Linked DNA regions of Diceros bicornis minor. The protein of the gene in region 2 interacts with the protein of the main gene of each other region in a pairwise test. Links are inferred from orthologs where the notes say so. Each region holds a gene or a part of one and is shown on either strand. Other genes may lie near its edges.

What was found.
Region 1: the proteins of EHMT2 (region 2) and KLF3 interact in binary tests that used the Homo sapiens proteins (3 or more experiments, as listed by UniProt). The two-hybrid records come from large-scale screens. The link is inferred for Diceros bicornis minor from reciprocal best matches to the Homo sapiens genes EHMT2 and KLF3.
Region 3: the proteins of EHMT2 (region 2) and RD3 interact in binary tests that used the Homo sapiens proteins (3 or more experiments, as listed by UniProt). The two-hybrid records come from large-scale screens. The link is inferred for Diceros bicornis minor from reciprocal best matches to the Homo sapiens genes EHMT2 and RD3.

Annotation. Positions count from the first base shown.
Region 1 is NC_080747.1:31,813,585-31,820,796, forward strand, and holds the start of KLF3 (Krueppel-like factor 3), read left to right. Parts: upstream 1-4,198; 5' UTR 4,199-5,278; coding exon 5,279-5,347; intron 5,348-7,212. UniProt on the Homo sapiens protein: Binds to the CACCC box of erythroid cell-expressed genes. May play a role in hematopoiesis.
Region 2 is NC_080753.1:32,913,419-32,921,227, forward strand, and holds the start of EHMT2 (histone-lysine N-methyltransferase EHMT2), read left to right. Parts: upstream 1-4,727; 5' UTR 4,728-4,748; coding exon 4,749-5,028; intron 5,029-5,124; coding exon 5,125-5,331; intron 5,332-5,430; coding exon 5,431-5,684; intron 5,685-6,480; coding exon 6,481-6,565; intron 6,566-6,657; coding exon 6,658-6,698; intron 6,699-6,811; coding exon 6,812-6,967; intron 6,968-7,809. Other genes in the region: ZBTB12 (zinc finger and BTB domain-containing protein 12), read left to right, coding at 683-2,062. UniProt on the Homo sapiens protein: Histone methyltransferase that specifically mono- and dimethylates 'Lys-9' of histone H3 (H3K9me1 and H3K9me2, respectively) in euchromatin.
Region 3 is NC_080743.1:77,296,540-77,303,918, forward strand, and holds the start of RD3 (protein RD3), read right to left. Parts: upstream 3,004-7,379; 5' UTR 2,706-3,003; intron 1-2,705.

The DNA.
Region 1 (7,212 bases), on a different chromosome or scaffold from region 2:
CCTCCCTGACCCTCCCACCCTGGGTCCCAGCCTCTACTTACCCCGCCAGCCCCGGGAGGCTCGCAGAGCGAGCGGCGCCGGCGTCATGTGACTGCCCGGAGTTGGTGCCAGGAGCCAGAGGGGAGCCAGGAGCGGAGCTGCGCGGAGCCCGGGCCCGACCGGAGCGCAGCGCGAGCGGCCGCCGCACGCGCGCCCGTCCCCGTCCCCGTCCCCTGCGGCCGCCGCCGCCCACTGCGCCCGGACTGGAGCGCTGACATTGCTGCATTCGCGGGGTCCAAGGCAGCCCGCATCCGGGCCTTTATTTCTCGTCTGCAGCGCTCAGCACCGCGCCTCGAAAAGTAAGTCCCTTCTCCCTCACCTTTCCTTCTCGGCCCGACTCCTACTGCCCCCCTTTTCGGCTCGTCCGGTTTCATTTTTTTCAGGGGGGCGCGCAGTGAATTGGTTGGGGGTGCAGCGCGGGGGTGGGGGCGCCTGTGGGCTTGGGAAAGTGCAACAGCTCCTCGTAGCCGGGGGTGGGGGCGGAGGGGGGGCGAGGGGGAGGGGGCCCCCGGGGTCAGCAGTTGAAAGTGTGGGATTGGGGAGGGCCACCGTGAAGATCCGCGAGTGCGGAGAGCGAGGGCTGCAGCGCCCGCCGCGGCCCCGGGGAGGGCGCGGGTGGGGGCTCACCTGTGTGGTCCCCCGGCCGCCGCCCGCCCGCCCGCGATTCCCTCCAAAGCCCCAGAAATCTCAGTGTTCTCCGCGTGTGGCAACGTTGTTTGGAGAAAGGTAGCGCCGAGGCCGCGCGCTCCTGCTCCTCCCCCTCCTGGTCCCCCACCCCCCGCTCCCGCGCCCTCCCCCTCCCCGCCCTCCGCCTGCGCCCCCCGCCGCCCTCCTCCTCGGACGGGGCGCGCGGCCGCTCGCCCGCTGGAGCAAACTTGGAGCAGCCTCGCGGGCCCTCCGGGAAGAAACTTAGGGCAATTGGGACTGGAGGCAGCATCCCATTCTCGGTTCTGGAACCCAGAGCTGCCAGGGCGTCTGGATCCTCGGGGGCAGGAGAAAAGAGCTGGCCGGGTTTGGAGAGCCCTCCTCGGGGGCACGGAGAGAACCTGCCGCAGTGCTTGGAGCGAGGATTGCAGCGTGGCTGGAGGCGGAGAGCGCCTTAAGCAACTGCCTGCGGCGTTAGGGACCCGAGCCGGGTGGGGAGCGAGGAACTGATCCCTGGACCTGGACCCTTGGGACCTACCTAACGTTTCAGAGTGGCTTTCTTGGAGATGGCAGATAATACCTGGAATTGTCAAAGCCACTTCTTTGGCAGATAACAAGGAGAATCTTTTCTGCTTTAAATTGAACGGCATCATACAATAATACTAGATGAAGGACATGTGAATGGGACTTACTTTTAATAAGGCGGGTTAAAAGGAAATTGGAAATTGCTCATTTTGTATTTCACTAAAATAAACGTTTTATGCTGAATTTTTTACTAACTCAGGACGTATTTTTCCGTTAATATCACCCAAGACACTTTAAATATATTAATTCTCACAAGAGTCTGGTACATGGGGAAAAGTATGAAGTGGTATGAATCTGACTTCATTTAGATTTAGTATCCGTAATTATTAAACAAAATCAAGTGGGGACGAGGGCAGTTGTTCATTATAAGTTTTTCCACAGAGCAATTTTGTGCTGTCCTTTTCAGAGTGTTTTATGTATGAATTAGAGGAGTATTTTTATAAGAGAAATCCAGCTGGATGATAATCTGTCTAACCCGAGGGAAGACTTGCTTTTAGGGGAAAATCTGAGAGCATTAACATCTCCAAAATTTGAGGAGTTAGTACTATTTTTTAAAGAAAGTGGACAAATGAGTTTCTTCTGGCTTGAAACATGGAGTATGTTAGTTGACATTAGGCTGTTAACAGAAAACTGAAGTGAGATGTTTGATTAATTTAAATTCCCTAGAGAAACATCTCAATTTCTACAGTCAGTGGGGTTTGCTGCAGAACAATTAGAAGAGAAAAGCCTAATGTACTATTGGTAAGTTCAATGAAGAGAAACTGTAAGAAACATTCTGCTTGTGTGAAGGAAAATGCAAGTATAAAAATCCTAATGTGAGAATAACAAAGAAAAGTAGCTATTTAGACCATAAACCCTTGTCAGATATAAAACACAGCCATATAACTTTGGAGAAAGCTATTGTTTTTTCACTGCAAAGTTTCTAAATTAAAACTCAATCTTCTGGTTGCTATGGGCACAGTGATGCCTTTTTTTTTTTTTTTTACCTGTAGTTATGTCTACACACAGATTCTTAAATCTCTAATAATGGAAACCTACCTGAGTTAAACAGACCTGGCTGACAAAATAAAGAGAAGTAATGGGAAAAGGACTGTGAATGGCTTTTACTACCTTAATACCAAAAAGAAAATAGACATTTTAGGATGTCTTGTAAAAATTGATACTCTATTCTACAGATTGTCTAACAATTTTGGATTAAATTAAATGTCAGGAACAAAATCACAGTCTCAAAAGGTGAATTTCTGTACATGTGTGTACGTGTAGCACAGATGTGCAGCTGTGTGCAAATGTTTATAACTATGCAGTTGAAGACTGAAAATTTGGGTTGCCTCTAGATGTCCCACGCTCTGTGTCTTGGAATTTAGTTCTGTGGCTAAGGGACACTTAAAATTGGTCCAATTTTCGGTTAGGTGGGATAACCCAATTGTAATCTGAATTGTTAACAGCAGTACTCTATCTTCATTTTCCTCATGATGCTCTGAGGCTGAACAATACTTATTACCCTAACCCAGAATTTGGTCATGGCTAGGGACCAGCCGTTGGGATGGGGGAGAAAGAGACAAAAGAAATCTGTAGGGAGGCTGGTGTTAATTAGGAAGGTCTCTGCTGCTTGTATATGATAAAATCACATGTTCACTTATGATGTTTACTGTATGTGGAAGCTCCTATTTGTAAATAGGGCAGGTCCCCTGTATAAAGCTGGTGTTATTATTCACACCCATAGAACAAACACCTCCACCAACCCCCATCCCCCGTTGTCTTAAAAAACTCCAGCTGCTCATGAATATAGGGTCAGGGAGGGCCGGCTAAATGTTTCTCTGTGCTTTCTCTCCAGCACAGCCAGCAGAGCTGTTTCCTGTTCTTTGTTTCAAGGCTGGGGTTTGCGTCATACATTCCAAGTGGCATATGTGTGCTCTTTCCTGTTTCAGGCTGTTTTCTGGTAGATCAGTAGCCCAGACCAGGCCATGGTCCCTGCCCCTAAACTCCCTATCCCCACCCTGGGAGTTATCATGTCTCTGCACACTTGCGATTGCTTAAGATGCCTGTGTTATGTCATAATGAGAAGTCAGTTAACCTTTTTACATACACCCTTTGCTCCAGTATGTTTATATGGGTGAATACATACTTTTGTCTTTTTAAATTTTTCATTGCCAAATTGTAATTTTAAGAAATTTGTGTGCATATTGGCTAGAAATCTAAAGGAGGTTGTATTTGTTTGTTTGTTTTTCATTCTGGTTTTGAAGTGGGTAGCGTGTTTGTTTTCAGATTGGCGTTTTGCCCTGAAGCTGTCAATTTTGGATCAGGATTATCACCTTACAGTTTAGAAGATGTAGCATTATCTGAAAGATGTGGCCCACCCTTCTTCACATTAATACAGGACGCTCAAGGCACAGGCTTCATTGGATGGAGAACTCAAGCAGTCTTGGCAGCCTAGGCTGACTCAAAAGTCTTGCTTATGTTTAAGGAAAAAATCTTTAGAGAAAGTATTGAAGCAAAGCATAAGATACATTGAGAAAACTGCAGGATTATTTCTTTTTGAAGACAAAGATTTAAATACTAGGATAATTTTTTTGAAGGTGAAGATTTTACTGTATCCTAGATCTGATTTCCAAACTGTTTTAAGAATAAAAAGCTCAAAGAAAAGGAGAACTGGAAATAAATTCATTTAATGATAATTTGGAAAATTTTAATCTAATCTTTTGAAAACAGAAGAATGCTTTTGTTTTTATTGTTTTACAATAACAACTTTTTCATAACACTTTTTTTTCTTTTTGTATGTGTATTGGCAGTTAAGTTAACAAATTTCTGGGTTAACTATTTAAAACCTACTTTAACAAATTATTTTTCTCTTGATTCTTCAGAAAATAAGTTTTAAAGAAATGATCAGAAAAAACTTTTGGCAAGTTGTTTTTTTTAAACTTATTTTTGGATTTTCTTTAAAATCTAAAGGGATTATCTACAACGTTCTCTAATGGAATTAATTCAGAGTTGCTGAGGCAGCAAATTAGACCCGATCCTCCCCAAAATTGATGATAATAGTACTTTGGTTTTAACTTCATGTCCCACCACATTCTTTATGGATAAAGGGATATATATAATATGATATTAAAAAAGCTACTAGAATAAATGGTAGGCTACTGATAACCTTCCATGAAAAAAGGTGGAAGTTTTGGAAAGTCTCAATAAGAATTTTCCTTTCTCCTTTGGAAGAAGCAAATTTGAAATATTAACCTGACTTGTAGGACAAGAGGCCTTTAAACTAAAATCATAAGTAAACCCAAATTGAAGCAACGTTTTTTGTTTTAGTTCCAAAGTTGTTAACAATCCACCTAGATTTGGTAGACAGACTCTTTATTTGGCTTACCCCAAATCCTTGCCTCACCATTTGGGGAGAGAGGAAGTGGTTAATAGAGATGATTAGGGTCTAACATATTCTATCAGAAAAAAAATTTTTGCAGGCTTTTAAATGCTAAGCTAAGCAATTGAAAAAATTATACCAGTCTGATAGTTACTATAATTACAATAAAAAAAATGGGAATGATATAGTTTCATCTCTTGACCCTGCAAATCATTATTCCTAATTTAATTCCATTTTATCTCCATCCCCCCATTAAATACTTGCCTTCTTAATATTTCCAAATCAACATTTTTGCTATAATGAACAGCTTTCTTAAGTGGTACTTCCAACTCTGTTTTCACACCCAGTTGTGTTTTAAAAAATAATAATAAAGTAAATACAAGCGACCTCAACTTTTAAATACTAGAAATTATATTATTCTGGAAATTGGGTTTCTTTCTGAAGTGCTTCATTTATCGTTGATTCTAGCTTTAAAAAAAAAATCCCTAGAATCAAAGAACAATTGATATCTGGCTTGCTATATACGTAATATTCTAGTCAGAATTCATCTTGGGGTAAGTTGGAAGAGAAAGATTATGATGGTTTTTAGCATTCTCGTTTTCAAGCCTGATCTGTCCCTTTCTTCGACCCGGTTTCTCATCTGAAGCAGTAATGCCAGAGCTCAAGACAGGAAACCAGACAGCAGTCTGCCCTGATAAGGGAGAGCATTGTCTACAGGAGGTAGCCTTGCTTTTCTTCCCCCCTCAACTCTCCTTCTTTGAAATTAAGTAGTAATAAAAGAGACACAATGCTGTAGACACAGTTTCTGAACCAGGACTAGGGCTGTTTTTTCCTAAAGCAAAAAAAAATATCCTTTTAACTGGCGCTCTGCTTTTTCTGGAATGTCACCATAGTTCAATGGGACATTAAAAAAAATATAGGTATGTTTTAATCCCTCAGTCAGCATGTTTCATAGTAAAGTTCTTTCTCTAGCAAAACAGGTTCCTGGAGCTTTTTGAAACTCACTCCATTGTGTTAGCAGACCGAATACATTATCATTTCCCCCATCTAATTATTAAGGGGAGCTGGGGACTGAACGTAGCACAGTTAAGTGGCCCTTCCGCCCATGCATTCCGTGTAACCCTGCGTCTAGCTCTTAGCCTGACTGCCAGGAAGGGGGTGCTTCCTGAGGCAGCCCCCCTTCCAAGAGGATCCTGAAGAGCCCACCTTAGCCTGGGACGTGCTCAAGAGGGTTGCCAATCTCTGGAAGGCCTGGGGATCTCCAGGGATGGCCTGGAGCTAGTCGCGGCCTGGAGCTAGTCGCAACCCGGATCAGTGGAGTTTGGCCAAATCTAGATGTAAGAGATCAAGTGGACATTGAGGTGTCCACTTGACATTCTACCCTGGAGAGCGACCTGTGAATCAAGTGTGTGTTTTTCTTCTTTGGCCTATATGCTCTTCTTTCTACTAACTACTGTTCTTTGAGTCTAATCACTGAAATCAATCTCCTTTATCTGTTCTTGCACTTTACACCCTGGTACCTTCCAAAGCTTTGTACCCCAAAACTACTTTCATTTGTAACTTCAAGTTCCTGTTCTGCTTAGTTCTCCAAACAAAGGAGTTATTCTGTCTCAAGCCTCCCAAAGTTTTCACATTTACTCTGCATTTTAGGTTTTAGAAGATGATTTTTGGGCCAGCTTCACCGGCCCCTGGGCAGATTCTCCTTGTGCAACACCTGCCGTACAATCATACTGAAGCCCTTGCCCTTCATGTTATCCTAGCATGTGAGAAGTGCAGTTGGCCATCCATTCATTTATTCATCTCACAAGTATTTATTGAGCACCTACTCATTAGAGCAGATTACGTGCAGCCATTATTCCTAGTTACGCCACAGGATGGAGTAGGTCTGGAGTGATCTAACCTGAAAACGCATTTTGAAATTTTAATTGCCCTCTGGAACCTCCCCATGGTACTGCCTAACATGGACTAGTGTGGCACTGCACACATCCCACACCCTCCGGACCAGGGGTGTGGTCCCAGGATAAGATGACTTGACTTAAAAGCCGATCCCACAGCACAGATGCTGAAGCAGAAGAGAAAGAGCCCTGGGTCTGCAGGCAGACACACTTCTGTTCTTGGCTGCAGCTCCAACCAGCTCTGCGAATTTGGGCGAGTCATTTCACCTCTGTTCCTGCATTTCCTCATTTCTAAAATGAGGATGAGGACCTGACCCTTCCACCTTTGTAGAGTTATTATGAGGATTTCCGTAGTTACTTGGGTAAAGCTGCCAATTTTTCTCAGCAGTTTTATGGACCAATTGCAGGTGCATTGGCTAGGAAGAATAACAGCCTAATTTGGGGCCTTCAGAATGTGTCTTTTGATCTTGTGTCCAAGCATGCATGCTAAGAGAGGGTAGGCAGCAGGGGCCAGTTGGAAGGAGTTGAAATCGCTGCTACTGTATGTACACTGTCCTCGCGTTCCATATCCGCCATGGACAGATTTGTTCGCAGAAATCAGTATCCCTCTATTACTGTTTGTGGTGTGACATTGTCCTCTGCCCAGGGGGCAGTAGAGTGTGGTGCCCAGTCCACCAGCTTTGAAGTCAG
Region 2 (7,809 bases):
CCCTTACGCCCACGCGGAGCCGGCCCCGCGCGCGCGCCCCGTGCACCCCCGCGCCTGCGCGGTGCCCAGGCCCTGCCCGTGCGTGGGGGCGCTGCCGACCCCGGGGGGGGTGGGGAAACAGGGGGGGAAAAAAACAGCGCGCGGAACCGGGCCAGGTGAGAGGCGCGTGCACTCAGGGTCGTGGGGCTGGGGGGGCGTGCCACGGAGTTCTGAACGTTGGGGGGGGCGTGCACGATGCGTGCAGGCGGCGGGGGGAGGACGTGAAAGGCGCGTGCAAACGTGCAAGGGGGGGCGGAGGAATGAGGCAGCGGCTAAAGGGGGCGGGGTGAGAAGAGGCAGCAACCTGGGCCACCCCAGAGCCCAAAGCCCCAGGCTTCTGCTCCCACTTCCCCCGACCTTCCCCTGTGGGCGCGCAGGCTCACCCCATCCTCGCGGGCAGTCAGGCTGGGGGGTGTGGATGCCGCTGCCCCGCCCCCGGGAACCACGCCTCCCTCCTCTCCGACGGACAGCGCCTCCCCGGGGGCTGGGGAAACTGAGGAAGAGGCCTGAAGACTGGGTGGTCTCATTCTGGGGGGTCGGGCCAGAATGGGGGCGAGGGGCCTGGAGCCTTGGCTTAGGAGAGCCAGAGACCTTTGTCTCTGACCAGTTTCCTTCCCAACCAGGGTTGCCCACCCCCGCCACAATGGCCTCTGGGGTGGAAGTGCTGCGCTTCCAGCTGCCCGGCCACGAGGCCGCTACGCTGCGGAACATGAACCAGCTCCGTGCAGAGGAGCGGTTCTGCGACGTGACCATTGTGGCCGACAGCCTCAAGTTCCGCGGCCACAAGGTCATCCTGGCCGCCTGCTCACCGTTCCTGCGGGACCAGTTCCTGCTGAACCCCAGCTCTGAGCTGCAGGTCTCTCTGATGCACAGTGCACGAATAGTGGCCGACCTGCTCCTCTCCTGCTACACGGGCGCCCTGGAATTCGCCGTCAGGGACATCGTTAACTACCTGACTGCCGCCTCCTACCTGCAAATGGAGCACGTGGTGGAGAAATGCCGGAACGCCCTCAGCCAGTTCATTGAGCCCAAAATAGGCCTCAAAGAGGATGGGGTCAGCGATGCCAGCCTTGTGAGCAGTGTCAGTGCCACCAAATCCCTCCTCCCTCCTGCCAGGACCCCAAAGCCAGCCCCCAAGCCCCCACCCCCACCCCCTCTACCCCCTCCCCTCCTGCGGCCTGTGAAGCTGGAGTTCCCACTGGACGAAGACCTGGAGCTGAAGGCCGAGGAAGAGGATGAGGATGAGGACGAGGACGTGTCTGATATCTGCATTGTCAAGGTGGAGTCGGCCCTGGAGGTGGCACACCGGCTCAAGCCTCCCGGAAGCCTGGGAGGAGGGCTGGGTATGGGAGGCTCCGTGGGCAGCCACCTTGGGGAGCTGGCCCAGAGCAGTGTGCCCCCCAGCACTGTGGCCCCACCACAGGGTGTGGTGAAAGCCTGCTACAGCCTGTCTGAGGACGCGGAAGGGGAGGGCCTGCTGTTGATCCCCGGAGGCCGGGCCAGTGTGGGGGCCACCTCGGGCCTGGTGGAGGCAGCAGCAGTGGCCATGGCTGCCCGGGGGGCGGGGGGCAGCCTGGGGGCGGGGGGCAGCCGCGGACCCCTGCCCGGGGGCTTCTCCAGTGGAAACCCCCTAAAGAACATCAAGTGCACCAAGTGCCCGGAAGTGTTCCAGGGCGTAGAGAAGCTGGTCTTCCACATGCGGGCACAGCACTTCATTTTCATGTGCCCGCGCTGCGGCAAGCAGTTCAACCACAGCAGCAACCTCAACCGCCACATGAACGTGCACCGCGGCGTCAAGTCGCACTCGTGTGGCATCTGCGGCAAGTGCTTCACGCAGAAGTCCACACTGCACGACCACCTCAACCTGCACTCCGGAGCGAGGCCCTATCGCTGCTCCTACTGCGACGTGCGCTTCGCCCACAAGCCTGCCATTAGGCGGCACCTCAAGGAGCAGCACGGCAAGACCACAGCCGAGAACGTGCTAGAGGCCAGCGTGGCTGAGATCAACGTCCTCATCCGCTAGCGTTAGCGGGGCAGGCGGCTGGGTCCCTGGGCTGGGCGGGAAGGGGGCTCTCTGGCCCAGGAGAATAGGGGGGTGGGGGTCGGGGGCAGGCAGGTACGGTGGGGAGCCTGAGCAGACACACACATCCTGAGAGAGGGGCAGAAGATTACTTGGAGAGAAGACCCTGCCTCTTCAGAAGAAAAGAATGGAGAGGGAGAGGGTTCTTTGAGAAGGCAAAGGAAATACAGAGTCCCAGAGAAAGGTTTTCTTTTAGAAGTGCATGGATATGTGAAGAGAGGGAAAGGGTCCTATAGAAACGAGGAGGAAAAAGGACTGGAAATGGTTATATTCCTGGCTAAGGCTGCCCAGGGAGAGGTTCTGACATTTCTTGAGGTAGGGGGTGGGTGGGTGGGAATTGGGAGGGAATTTGGCAGGAGGCAGCTTACATGCTCCACCTTAGAATAGATCCTTGGGAGAGGGAGTGGTAGGGGGAAGGGATTCTCAAATCCCAGAAAAGGAAGGGGAGACAGTTCTTGCATGCTGGGGGAATGGGGCTGTGGGTACAAGGCTCGCCAAAACTCCAGAGAGAACAAAGTAGGGTGTCAGGTAAGAGAACATGGGGGTGAGCATCCTGGGTAGATGTTGGGAAGTGGGGTACAATAGCAAGAACGGTGAATAGTGGTGGGGGTGGGGGGTAGGGCACTTAGAGGAAAGGACACGAGAAGGGCTGTTTGGGGGGAGGGAGAGGAGTAGAGACTTATATACAGTATTTTTTAAGAAAACAACGTATTTTTTAGGATTTTTTCTGGAGTTTGGGGTTTTAGTTTTTCTGCTTTTGTTTTCCACAAAATAAAAAAAAACAAAACCTTTTTTTTCTTTATACTCTGTCTGGTGACTGCGTGTAAATGACTATCCCACCCTAGGCAGCCTCTCCTTCTGATGCCATTTGCTCAATACCTGGAGGTCACAACTCATGCAAGTCCCATGCCTGAAGGAGCCCTAACAGGGAAGAGGGAGTGTGACAAGTGGGCTCCTCTGGCCCAGGACCCTCCCAGTTCTGCAACCTCAACGCCTGGCAGATATAACACAAATGTTCCGTGATTGTTTGGCAGTGGTAACACATGACCTGCTCCTCTATCTGAGGAGTCTGGTATCAGGGCCAGGGATAGGCTCTAGGTGTGACCGTTGTGCCCACCGAGATTGTAAGCAGGAGCCTGTGTTTGGGCATTCTTGGTCTGGGGAAAGGGCATGTCCTCGGGAAAGCTAAAAATCACTGGATTAGGGTCTAGGGAAGACTACAATTCCCAGAAAGCTCTGGAATAGTTCTTAACCAAAGAGAACTACAGTTCCCAGAAGGCTTTGAATTGGCCTCAGGTGCCCTATCTCGCAATCACCTGTCTGTGTCAAATACTGCGTGTGAAATCATACAGATATTTTCCAGACTCTGATCAGAATGTAATACCTAAAGGGATGGTACCCTAAACACTGCTATCAAGTTGGTATAGCTTGGTGTAATATCATTCATACTTCCACTTTCGGCTGGGCTATGACCCACGGAGTGCCTGACTCTGCTAGTGAAGTGTTTGTCAAAAAAGGTTACTAGAGTGTCACCAGACACTAATGACTCTTAGGCCGCTGGGGGGCTCACCTGGATTCCTATGCATGTGGTGGCGTAACATGTCTGGCATAAACATAACAGACATTTAGCCCCAGGTTTTCAAAAGGGGACGCTGCTCCAGGGGACATGAAGCAGCATGCTAGAACCAGCCAAGAGGAAAGGTGTCCTCCGCGCGTCCCCATCGCCTCCTTCTTGCTCGTTAGAGAAGCGAGGCCAAAACTGAGGCCGAGCCTTCCATCTGGTGACCCAGAAACTGAAAGCAACCAGAAGCGGGAGAAGCACACGCAGGCCAGATTGGAAATAGAACCGCTGCCGAGAGCCGGGAGAGTCAGACGCTCCGCTTGTTACCTAAAACCAGAGGGGGGATGCAGAAGCCACACGTGGACCCAGGCGTGCCTCGCCTTCGGTTCCCCGCTGAGGCGAGGCCAGGAATGGAAGGAATTCTCCCCTGCAGCCCCCAGCCTAGAACAGCCACTGCCGTCTCCAAGGCCGCTCTCGGGGAAAAAGGCCAGAAAGCACGTACTGGCTCCTTTAAGGCTCCTCCTAGCCCGCCCTCTCCCGCCCACGTGACCCGGGGCGGCCGCGCGCCGGCTCGGCCCCCCGCGCAAGCGGCGATGGCGGCGGCGGCGGGAGCTGCAGCGGCGGCGGCCGCCGAGGTGCGGAAGGGGAGGGGGAGAGGCGGGTGCATGCCCGCGCGCGCGCCCGGGGGAAGCGCGCGCCCGTGCAATGCTCCGGGGGTGCAACGGGGCCGGGGGGCCCGGGCGGGACTTGCAGCAATCCGGAGGGCCAGCACTGGGGGCGGATGAGGGGACCAGGGGGTGGGAGGTGGGGGGAGTGGGCACGGAGGCGCGCGTGCAGCCGCCGGCTGCCCCCGAGTGGGTGGCGGGCGCCGGGGCCCCAGGAGCACGCGCGAGGGGCACGAGGGGCCGTCCACCGGGCTGGGGGGCAGCGGGCGCTGGAGGGGTTGGTGCCCGGGGTCCCCGCGGCCTGGGGGACAAAGGGGGAGCGGCGCGTGCAGCCGGGAGGAGGGGGCGGGGCCGGGGCGCGGAGGCCCCGCCCCCTCCCCCTTCTCTCTTCTCGGCCCCTGAGATGCGGGGTCTACCGAGAGGGAGGGGGTTGATGCGGGCCCGGGGGAGAGGTCGTGCGGCCCCTCCGGGCAGCCGAGGCCGCGGAAGGGGGGGCCCCCATAGAGGAAGAGGTAGGCCCCGGAGCCTACTCTCTCTTCCCAGGGCCCAGGCGTCCTGGGCCCCCCAACTTCCTACTGGGCTGACCAGTCCTCCTATCCCTTGTGTCCCCTCCCAGGGGGAGGCCCCCGCTGAGATGGGGGCGCTGGTGCTGGAGAAGGAGCCCAGAGGAGCCAGCGACAGAGGTGAGTTTCTGGCAGAAACGGCCCGGTTGGACCTTCACCTCCCACAGCACAGGATTCCTTGAGCCCTTAAACCTGAACTTTTTTCTTCCCTTTCAGTTCATGGCTCTTTGGGGGACACCCCTCGTAGTGAGGAGACCCTGCCCAAGGCCAACCCCGACTCCCTGGAGCCTACTGGCGCGTCATCCCCAGCCTCTGTCACCGTGACCGTTGGTGATGAGGGGGCTGACACTCCTGTAGGGGCCACACCGCTTATTGGGGATGAACCGGAGAATCTCGAGGGAGATGGGGGCCGCATCCTGCTGGGTGAGAGGCTGGGGAGTCTAGGGGGTGAGGTGGGGTATCCTCTGACTCTGCCTTCCCTCTTATCTTGCCTTCTGCCTGCCTGCCCTGTCTGTTTTCCAGGCCATGCCACAAAGTCCTTCCCGTCTTCTCCCAGCAAGGGGGGTGCCTGTCCCAGCCGGGCCAAGATGTCAATGACAGGGGCTGGAAAATCACCCCCATCAGTCCAGAGTTTGGCTATGAGGCTGCTGAGTATGCCGGGGGCCCAGGGGGCAGTAGCAGCAGGGCCTGAACCCCCTCCAGCTACAACCAGCCCAGAGGGGCAGCCCAAGGTCCACCGAGCCAGGAAAACCATGTCCAAACCAGGCAATGGACAGGTGAGGATTGGGGGAGGGCTGCTGGGAGTGGGAGAGACAGGGGTAATCAACCGTAAACCCCTTGTGGGCTTTTCTACAATTTAGCTTTAAGCGGTCTCTAATCTATTCACAGCCTGATGTATTTACCAAGGGGCTACTGTGTGTCAAATTCTAGGCTGGGGCTTAATCTGTGAACAGACATATTCCTTCCTGTCTTTCTGGAGTTAACATTCTTGGGGAGAGGGGAGTAGAAGAGAGAAATGTCAATGAGCTAATTATGTAGTTAATGCCTTAATTACTCTTATGGTAATGACTATGTAAAGAAACTTTAAACCACTCTTCCTTTCTACCTCAAAGCAAGTCTCAAGGGAACTTTTCCTCCCTTCTTTGAAGCTGCCCCTGCTCCATTTTTAAAGATTTTACTATAAATCTCTACAGGGAAGGAGATGAGGGCCACAGAAATGACAGAGGAGGAAAATGACAAAGGCCCCAGAATCTCAGAAGCTTTATGACAGTGTTCTTAGGGTTCTGCATATCATTTTGTTCTGGGTGTGGTTTGGGTAGCTTTGGTGAAGGCCTTAACCTTCGTTTTCTCACCTGTAAAATGGGGAGAAAGGGCTTGCTTCTGTGTGAAGAGGTGAGTGAGTGTTAGGTATGGGATGTGCTTGACACACTTCCTCCCAGGATACAGCAGTTCATGTTCTGGTTACTGGAGCTTCAGAGGGCATTTTTGAGGGTGTGGCTCACCACCCCACCCCCACTTGGGGTTCCAGGCTAAAGGCTCCCTGACCTTAAATGTGCTCCCTCTTGCCCCCAGCCCCTAGTCCCTGAGAAGCGGCCCCCTGAAGTGCAGCATTTCCGCATGAGTGATGATGTGCACTCGTTGGGGAAGGTGACCTCAGGTCAGTCCCACCCCCCACCCACCTGAGGCTTGGTCTGGCCTGTCCTGACAGGTTAGAGCACAGACCTCACGCCTTTCTCTCTCTCCTTCCAGATGTGGCCAAGAGGAGGAAGCTGAATTCAGGAGGTGGCCTGGTGAGCCAGGAGAGGCAGGGAACAAGCCCTCTCCGCCTGGGGGGCTGCCCTTCCAGGAAATGGGAGGTTGATGGGTGGGGGGGAGCAGCTTCAATTTTTTTATCTTTTTCTAGTCGGAGGAGTTGGGTTCTGCCCGGGGTTCGGGAGAAGTGACCCTGGAGAAGGGGAACCCCGGGTCCCTGGAGGAGTGGGAGACAGTAGTAGGTGACGACTTCAGCCTCTACTACGATTCCTACTCTGTGGATGAGCGTGTGGACTCTGACAGCAAGGTGAGAGGGAGCGGCTGCCCTCCTGGCCAGCACCTCACCTCATCCAGGGCTTGCTCTCCAGTCTTGCCTGCCCCCTTTTTCTCTCTTTCCTTCTTATCTTCTGAACAGCCACTAATTTACTGCCGCATCCTGTCTATAACTTATTTCCAGTGTGTGTTCCACGCCATTCCATCCCTTTACCTCTCTCCACAGTGGTGACCACCATCGTGGACTTTGGGTTCAGCACCCCATTTTATGGTTTATTTGTTATTTGTTTTTTCTTTTGCTTTTTGTTTGGTTTTGTCTCATACATGTTTGATTATGTGATATAGTGCTTAGTCTTGCCTGTCTTGCTTTCATTTAACGTTTTATTATGGAAACTTGCAGATATACACAAAAGAATAGAGGAATGAGCCCCAGGTGGCCATCACCCAGCTCCCACAATTATTAAAACACAGCCGATCTTGACTTATCTCTTCCTTCCCCAACCCACACACCTACTGGATTGTTTCAAAGCAAATCTCAGGCATCATATCATTTTATCTACAAATATTTCCATATGTATCTCTAAACATAAGGCCTATTTCTGTTTTTTGGTGAGGAAGATTGGCCCTGAGCTAACATCTGCCCATCTTCCTCTACTTTATATGTGAGACGCTGCCACAGCATGGCTTGATAAGCCGTGCGTTGGTCCGTGCCTGGGATCTGAACCCGCGAACCCCAGGCCACTGAAGCAGAGTGCACAAATTTAACCACTACACCACTGGGCCAGCCCCCTATTTCTGTTTTTTAACATCACTGCATTACTATTTTCACACCTAAAAAATTGGCCAGTGATTCTTTCATACCATCTCTTGACTAGC
Region 3 (7,379 bases), on a different chromosome or scaffold from region 2:
TGGGTCAGACAGAGGCCAGAGATGGCTGGCTTATCCCAGGGCCTCGCCAGGACCTGACCCACGGGCAACACCTCGTGTGAGTCTGTGTTGTGACCGAGTGTCTGGGGAAGAACATGATGGCAGGGTGTGGTCTGATAAAGACGCCCAGAACGTTCGTCAGAACAGCAAGGGTGGTCTTCTCCGGGTGCTTTGCACGCTTAGGATTCTGCCCCTCCCTTGCTCTGGATTAGCCCCCCTCAGTGTAAGCTTTAAGGCCCCTCACACTCCTGCTCACCACCAGGCGTGACAGCACCATGGTGACTCTGGAACCTTCCATGAGAAATGCCTGCTTCCCATTCAGTCAATGATGCCTACCACCTGCCTCCAATGCATTAACATTGATTGAATTCTTTTAAAAAAAAAAAATTAGGAGATTTGGGGGAATTTAAATATGAGCTCGATGTTAGGGAATGACCGTTGACTTTCTTAGGTATAAAAATGATGTTATGGTTATAGGGGAATACTGACAAAGAGCCCAATCTTAGGAGGCGGTGCTGAGGTGTTCACAGCTGCAGTGTCACAATGTCTTACATCCAAATCATTCAGAAAATGTTACATATATATGCACACATGCACATAGGGCAAATATGGCAAAATATTAGTAATCATTTTATTTAGGAGGGGTAGTATTTTCATAACACTTTAAAGCTGCTTTTCTTGAAATATCATTTATGCTCATCACTGTTATAAAATCCTGGTATTTGTTAGACCTGCCGTTACATTTTATTATTTTACATGTTGGTAGAGAGGTACATGTATTACCATATCACAAATTGTTTTAAAAAAAATATGTCCATAGCTGCATTTCAGTACAGCTGGTTTCTTTTGTGATCCTATGAACTTAATTTTGTGCATTTAGAAACATTTTGCTGAGACTGTGTCCACAGGCTTCACAGACTTCCAAAGGGGCTTGTGGCACAGAAAGTAAAGGAACCCCTGCCTTGGTGCAAGTTTGACCCCAACCTTGTTCCTGGCCTTGCCCGAACGCTGGCTTCTGGGAGGGCTGAGCGCCCCACCCCCCTCGTATGAAGGGAAAGCTCGGGTAGTGGAGCCCCGGTTGACCCAGCTGGCAGCAGGAAAGCCCTCACATGTTCTACCTCCGCCCTTTGGCCTCACTCACCAAGGCCGTCTGTCTGTCATTCCCCGTTCTTCCCTCTCCTCCTCCCTTTCCCTTTCATTATCCCTTCCACCTCCACACTCTCTGAGCCCTCCCTTCAGCCTATTTTTGAACATCTCTGAGGATAATGTCTTTTCCGTGGCTCCCTGGGAGACACTACCACCTGCTGTGGCTCGTTAGATACGCTAGAAAAAAACCATCCCCAGGCCTCAAGGGCAAGAGGAGTGTGGTTCCAGGCAGTTAGCAGGTGGAGGGGGACCAGGGAGGTCTCAGCAGTGGGAACAATGGAGTTGTATCCTTGGAGTTGGGAGCAAGGCTCTGGTCCCCCTGCAGGAGGTGTGAGAGGTTCACCTGCCCTTGGTGAGTACAACGCCACCAGCCCCCTCTCCCGCCCCCAACCAAGCAAGGACGGTGCAGGCCCTGCAGGGAAGCTGTTCTCTCAGCACAAAGGCAGCCCCGCCCAGGCTCCACCTCTGAAGCTGGGCTCTAACAGCTGAGCTGGACATCTGCAGGCCATGGCGAGGAGCTGCCCTGCATGTCCCCCAGGACCCGTGAGCACAGAGCGGCACCTGCGCTGGGCTGTCCCAGGGCACCCGCCACTTCACCGAGCAGTCAGAGCGGCTCTGCTGAAGCCGGACCCTGGGTCTGGGCAGAGGCCTCGCAGAAGGTGCGGAGAGTAGGCGCTCCCCTCCCTGACGGACCTTCCTCCCAGCCCCGTTTTTGCCAAGGTACAAGGCCAACTTCACAGATTGCAAATTGACCTTAGCGGGTTTTTTCGGCAACATAGAAAAATATTTAGAGTAATTCACCAAGCCAGGTGTGACTCAGACCTACACCTAGAGGTGCAACTAGGAGGGGTAAGCGCTCAGATCCAACTGACCACAGTTGGAGGGGGCTGATCCCCAAGGAACTCTACCCTGATCCCACAGTCACAGCTCAGACTTTCCTTCCCAAGCCTGGTCCTCTCCCTGGAGCCCACCCTGCACTGCTCTGTCCAGGCCCGCTCTCCTGGGTGTGTTATCAGGACTCAGACAGCTCCGTGACTAGGAGGACTGAGGCCCGCACATCGCCGGTGTGTTTGTTCACGCCTGTGTCCTGGGAGTCTGACTCTGCACCTTGGGTCTAGTAGGTCCTCGAGTCACAGTTCTCAAATCGATGAGAGAATCTCTGAGGTGGGTTTCACCTTGCTTCCCCCTGCCTGTGTCCCCCCCACAAAAGCAGAAGAGAAAATGCTGGGGCTGTGTTCTTCCAGACAGCCTCCTGGTTCCAGAGCAGACAAAAGCTATGGCTTCCCGTGGGTCCATAAGGCAAGGACCAGGCCACGGCCCGGAGGATACTGCAGAGTCCGTCCACTCCTGTGGAACAGATGAGGACTGACGGGCCTCCCTGTGGCCATCTGGGCCCTGGACTCAGACTGCTCAATAGGCTGTCCCCAGCCTGCCACAGCCCTGAAGCCACCCCTCCCAGCTCCAGGCTCGTGGGCCTCTGCTCTAACTTCTAAAGGCTCAGCTGCTCCCAGGGTGCCACCCTGGGGAGACCACCCTCTTACCTGGCTTTCTGAGGTCAGCCTCTGCTGAGGTGCAACGTCCAGCAGGGGGTCCTGCTTTCTGTTTCGCAGTCTGGGAGAAGAGAGTGTCTGGTCTTTTCAGGGAAAAGCAGCAAGTTCGGCAGCCATAGGAGAGCAGGGTAGAGGGGAAACTACGTCCTAAAAATGCCTCCTTCCTCTTTCTCTTCTGCTGCTGGCTGCTGCCTCATGCTTTTTCCTCTCTTTCTGTCCCTCAGAAGTTGTGCTGAGAGCAAACAACACTGACCAGAGGAGGGATCCAGCCTGGGCTGGTGTTTGTGGAGTGCGTGTGTGCACGCGTGTCCCGAGAGGCTGGAACCACAGCTCCTCTGATGAACCCCAGAGGCGGGCCAGCTCCTGATCTGTGGTTGCCATGGAGACCCACCTAAGCCTCTTTCACCTCGAGCTGTATTATCTGTAGAGGGAGCCCGTCTGACCTAACAGAGACACCTGAGAAGACTCAGGGGGAGAGAGAGCGCCTGCCTCCAGATGGCATCCTCCGCCCCTTCCTTCCCTGGCCTGCGTTTAGGGTGGTGCAAACTGGGGGAGCAAAACCACGGTTACCGTACCCTCTGCAGAGCCCCGAGCGGACTGTGGGCAGATGTTTCCAGCTGCTCGGTGGATTGTTCCTGGCCAGAGCTCAGCTCTTTCCACTACTCCCTCCCCCAGGAGACGGGTGCTTCTGGGTGCAGAGGGCAGGGGCCTGAAAGGATAGTCTTCCCCTTTGCCTCACCACGTCCTTTCCTGTCCTCCTCCTTGCTAATCAAGATTCTCTCCTTCTCTCAAGGCAAGTTCAAGTGCAGAAAGTTCCTCTGACTTTCTGGAGGAGGGGTGAGGGGGAGGAAAAAATCCAGGGAGAAGAGGGACCATGGACTGTGATTATTGATTTTGAGGTGTTCGAGGTAACATGCGGGGCTGGTAGGAGCCTCCTGTTGCTGCTCTCTGGCATCCCACACTCACATCTGGGCCTCCTGCCTGTCTCCATGCTCTGGACACTCTGTCAATTGGAAGCTATTCTGGCTACAGGCCACGTGTGGGCCAGCCTGCGCCTAACAGCCATTCGGAGGCACTGACACAGATGCCTGTTGCCCTGTGAGGGGCCTCGGGGTGCTGTAATGGGTACTGAGCAGCATTATAACAGATCTCAGGGGATACGATAGCAGGTACCAGGTGATGGAGTGACTTCTGGACACATCTAGTCCTGATTGTGTTGGCAATAAAGCAGAAAGCATAGCCAAGAAGAAATTAAACTATGCCTGACGAGCTGACTCAGATGCACACCTGCCTGCCTGCAGGTTGTGATTTTTTTTCCTTGTGTGATATGCCACTTTGTGCTCACTCTGTGGCTGGTTCCATTAGGCATATCTGCCTTCCCTCCTTATCCACCTTCTCAAGCAGGAGTCTTGAGTCGGGAGCTGAGTCATACACTTCTCTTGACAAGGTCACAGCACAACAGTCCCAGACATTGGGAGGGTCACTTGGGGATGGGAGACTCCCACATTTTGAGCTAAAGATAATCTCCTCTGACTTACAGTTCTCAAGTGGCCTCCACCCCAGGGCCAGCAAAAGCTAGAGCAACCTGAGACAGGTAACCAGGAGTCCCCATCTCAGAGCATTTCACTGCCGTCCTGGAACTTCCCCAAGGGCAGGAATTCTAAGGCATGTCCACGCTGGGGGGAAGGGAGCAGAGGGAAGAAAAGCCTCTGCCCTCCTTTTGGGAAAGTTGCTAGAAGTGACGAGGAGAATGAGTCAGTAACCAAGTCAGACACTTATTCCTGCAACACGTACGTCTAGAGCACCGTTCGGTACAGTCACGATGCTAAGAGCTGGCCAAGGATGGGTGATCCCATTCCCCTCCCCTCTCCACACTTCCCAGCCAAGCCTCCATGAGGCTAGGTGGAATGAGTAGGAGAGGAAAGTCTTGCAGGAGGGTGGGGAGTAGGGCCAGTATTAGGGTTCAGAGCTAAAGGCTTTTATCTCCCTGCGGTACAACCTTGGGTCTACTACTGACCATTCTATTTGAATGAAAACATTCATCCTTTTTCTACAGCCCTACACTAGTCTTAGCATGTCACCCTTCAAACACACAAGCACAATAAATGTAAATGAGATTGTATGGGTCAACGTTTTGAGCCATCTAAAGGAAGATGCCATTGCAGCAGTGTGCTGAAACAAGATGTGAGCTTTAGGACTCCTGACCTGTGACTCTGGGGAACACACACACAGATGACCAGGTTTTTAGCATCCTCCCTCCCAACAGAGCTGTCCCTTTCCCCGCACTTTTCAGTGTTGCCCATGACCAGGAGAGGGGGCCATCCCCACCTTCCTTCCCTCCCCTGCCTGCTGCCTTGACACCATAACTCAAAGATGGCTTAGTGTTTGTGTTGATTGCTCATTTATTTTGATTTGTTAGCCTGTGGAGCCTTTGTGATTATCCATGCTGTGTGAATTTGTACTAGAGAGGGATGATGGTGGTTGTTTTTTCTCTCATTTGGCATCAATGGAAGTTGCTGAAGCATAGCTAAATATTCGCCAACCATTTTAATGGAGAAGCACCAGTGGGGCCCATGACATCACCTCACAGATGGCGTTTGATTAATAAATTGGAGATGGGAAATTAAGAAGCCATTGGGTGCAAGGCTGGATTAAAAACTGCAGGGGGATTTGAGAAGAGCCTTGACCCCAGATGTGAGGCTGCGCATATGGGAGTGCTCCCACTGTTCCCTCCTCCCTGGCTTCTTTCCGCTCGGTCGTGAATAGGATTTTCAGAGTCTAGCAGAGCTCCATATTGCCCAAATCCTGAATGAGACTGAATGAAACTGACATAATATCCAGGGATACAGACCAGACCTGCATTTACCCATATCTCTTCTCTCTGGCTAGCCCTCTTTCCACTCCTCTGGCCACATTTACTTCTCCAGGTAAAGGAAGCACTGTATCTGACTATAGGAAAAATGAGAACGCTCACCTTTCTCCCAGCTGGCTTGCTTAAGCCCCTCTCTCCCTCTCTCTCCTTTCCCCTCTCTTCCCTCTAAACTCATTCTGTTTAAAATGTATATACATTAAACTAAAGGGAACTCTGGAGGGAGACGTAATGCATTTCTCATTCATTCAGGAAGTGTTTATTGACCATCAAGTGTCTATTGACAGACAGCACCTTGATGCCCCATTTCCACAGAATTCACTCACCACCGACTTCTTTTAGGTTCTGCCCTGTGGTTTGACAGACTGATCTGAGGGCCAGTGGCAGAAACAGCTAGCTGTCCACCAAAGATTCACACCCCTCTTCCAGAGTGTAGACATCTTCCTGGGAAGTAGCTGTCCAACCAGGGACTACATTACCCAGCCTCCCTCGCATCTAGGTGAGGCCGTGTGGCGATGGAATGTGGGTGGAAGGGATGTGTGCCACTGCAAGGCCTGGCTTAGAAAAATCTCCCGTGCAATTCTCCACCTTCTATCTTTTCCCACTTGCTGCTGGTTGGCAAGGACTCTGAGGCCCTAGAGGATGGTGGAGCCACAATTTTGAAGGGGCCTAGGTCCCATGTGGCAGGCTGCCCACCAATCACCATGTTGAACTCTAATATGTGCCAGAAATTTATTGGGCCAAACCACTAAGATTTGGGGTTTCTCTGTTATAGCAGTTGGCACTACCCTAACTGGGGCAAAATCCTGTGAGAAGGGAGGGATGTGGAAGCTTTCTGCTATTTCTTTGGTTCCTGGAGATCAGAGCTCTTCCCTGACATGTTCTCTCCCAGTTTATCCATCTTCATCCCAAAGAAATCATTACTTCACCCCATATTGGCTCATGCCTTTGTGCATGATGTACACTCTGCCCCAAATGCCCTCCCCCTAGAAAGTCTCAGCCCTCAAAGCTTAGCTCCAATGGTAAAACCTCAAAGAATTTTCCTGTCTGCCCACCTGCTTCCTCCACTCCACTCTCCGAAGCTTCGTTCTCGTGTACATACGGTCGATCCTAATTACCTGCCGATTCCACATTTGCAAAGTTGTTTACTCGCTGAAATTTATTTGCAACCCCCAAATCAATACTTGCAGCAGTATTCCCGTCATTCCAGACATGTAAAAAGCGTTGAAAAATTAGACAGCGAGCACATTCCCAGCTGAAGTTGAACGAGGCGATGCTCTGCCTTCCCGTTTCAGCTCTCATAGCCTACCTGGGTGTCCTCTTCACGGTGTAGTTAGGGCTGCACTTTCCACACTTTGTGCTTTTTCTTGGTGATTTCACTGTTTAAAACGCCCTCTAAGCGCAGTGCTGAAGCACTGTCTGGCGTTCCTAAGCACAAGAAGGCCGTGATGTGCCTAAAGGAGAAATATGTGTGTTGGATGAGCTTTGTTCAAGTATGAGTTATGGTCCATGAGTTCAATGTTGGTGAATCAACAGTATATATAAATAAGGTGTCTTTAAACAGAAACACATAAAACAAAGTTATGTATTGATCGGTTGACAAAAATGCCGTGACCAGAGGCTCACACACGCGAACCTAATGCTGTACCTCCTGTAGGAGCAATGGCTCAGTGTCTGCTAATTCAGTGTTGGTAGCGACTTTTAGAGTGTAACTAACGCAAACAATGAGCACCTGGTTCAGCATCCTGCAGAATAAGGACTCCTCAAGGGCAAGGAGCACAAGGCCCAGAACATGG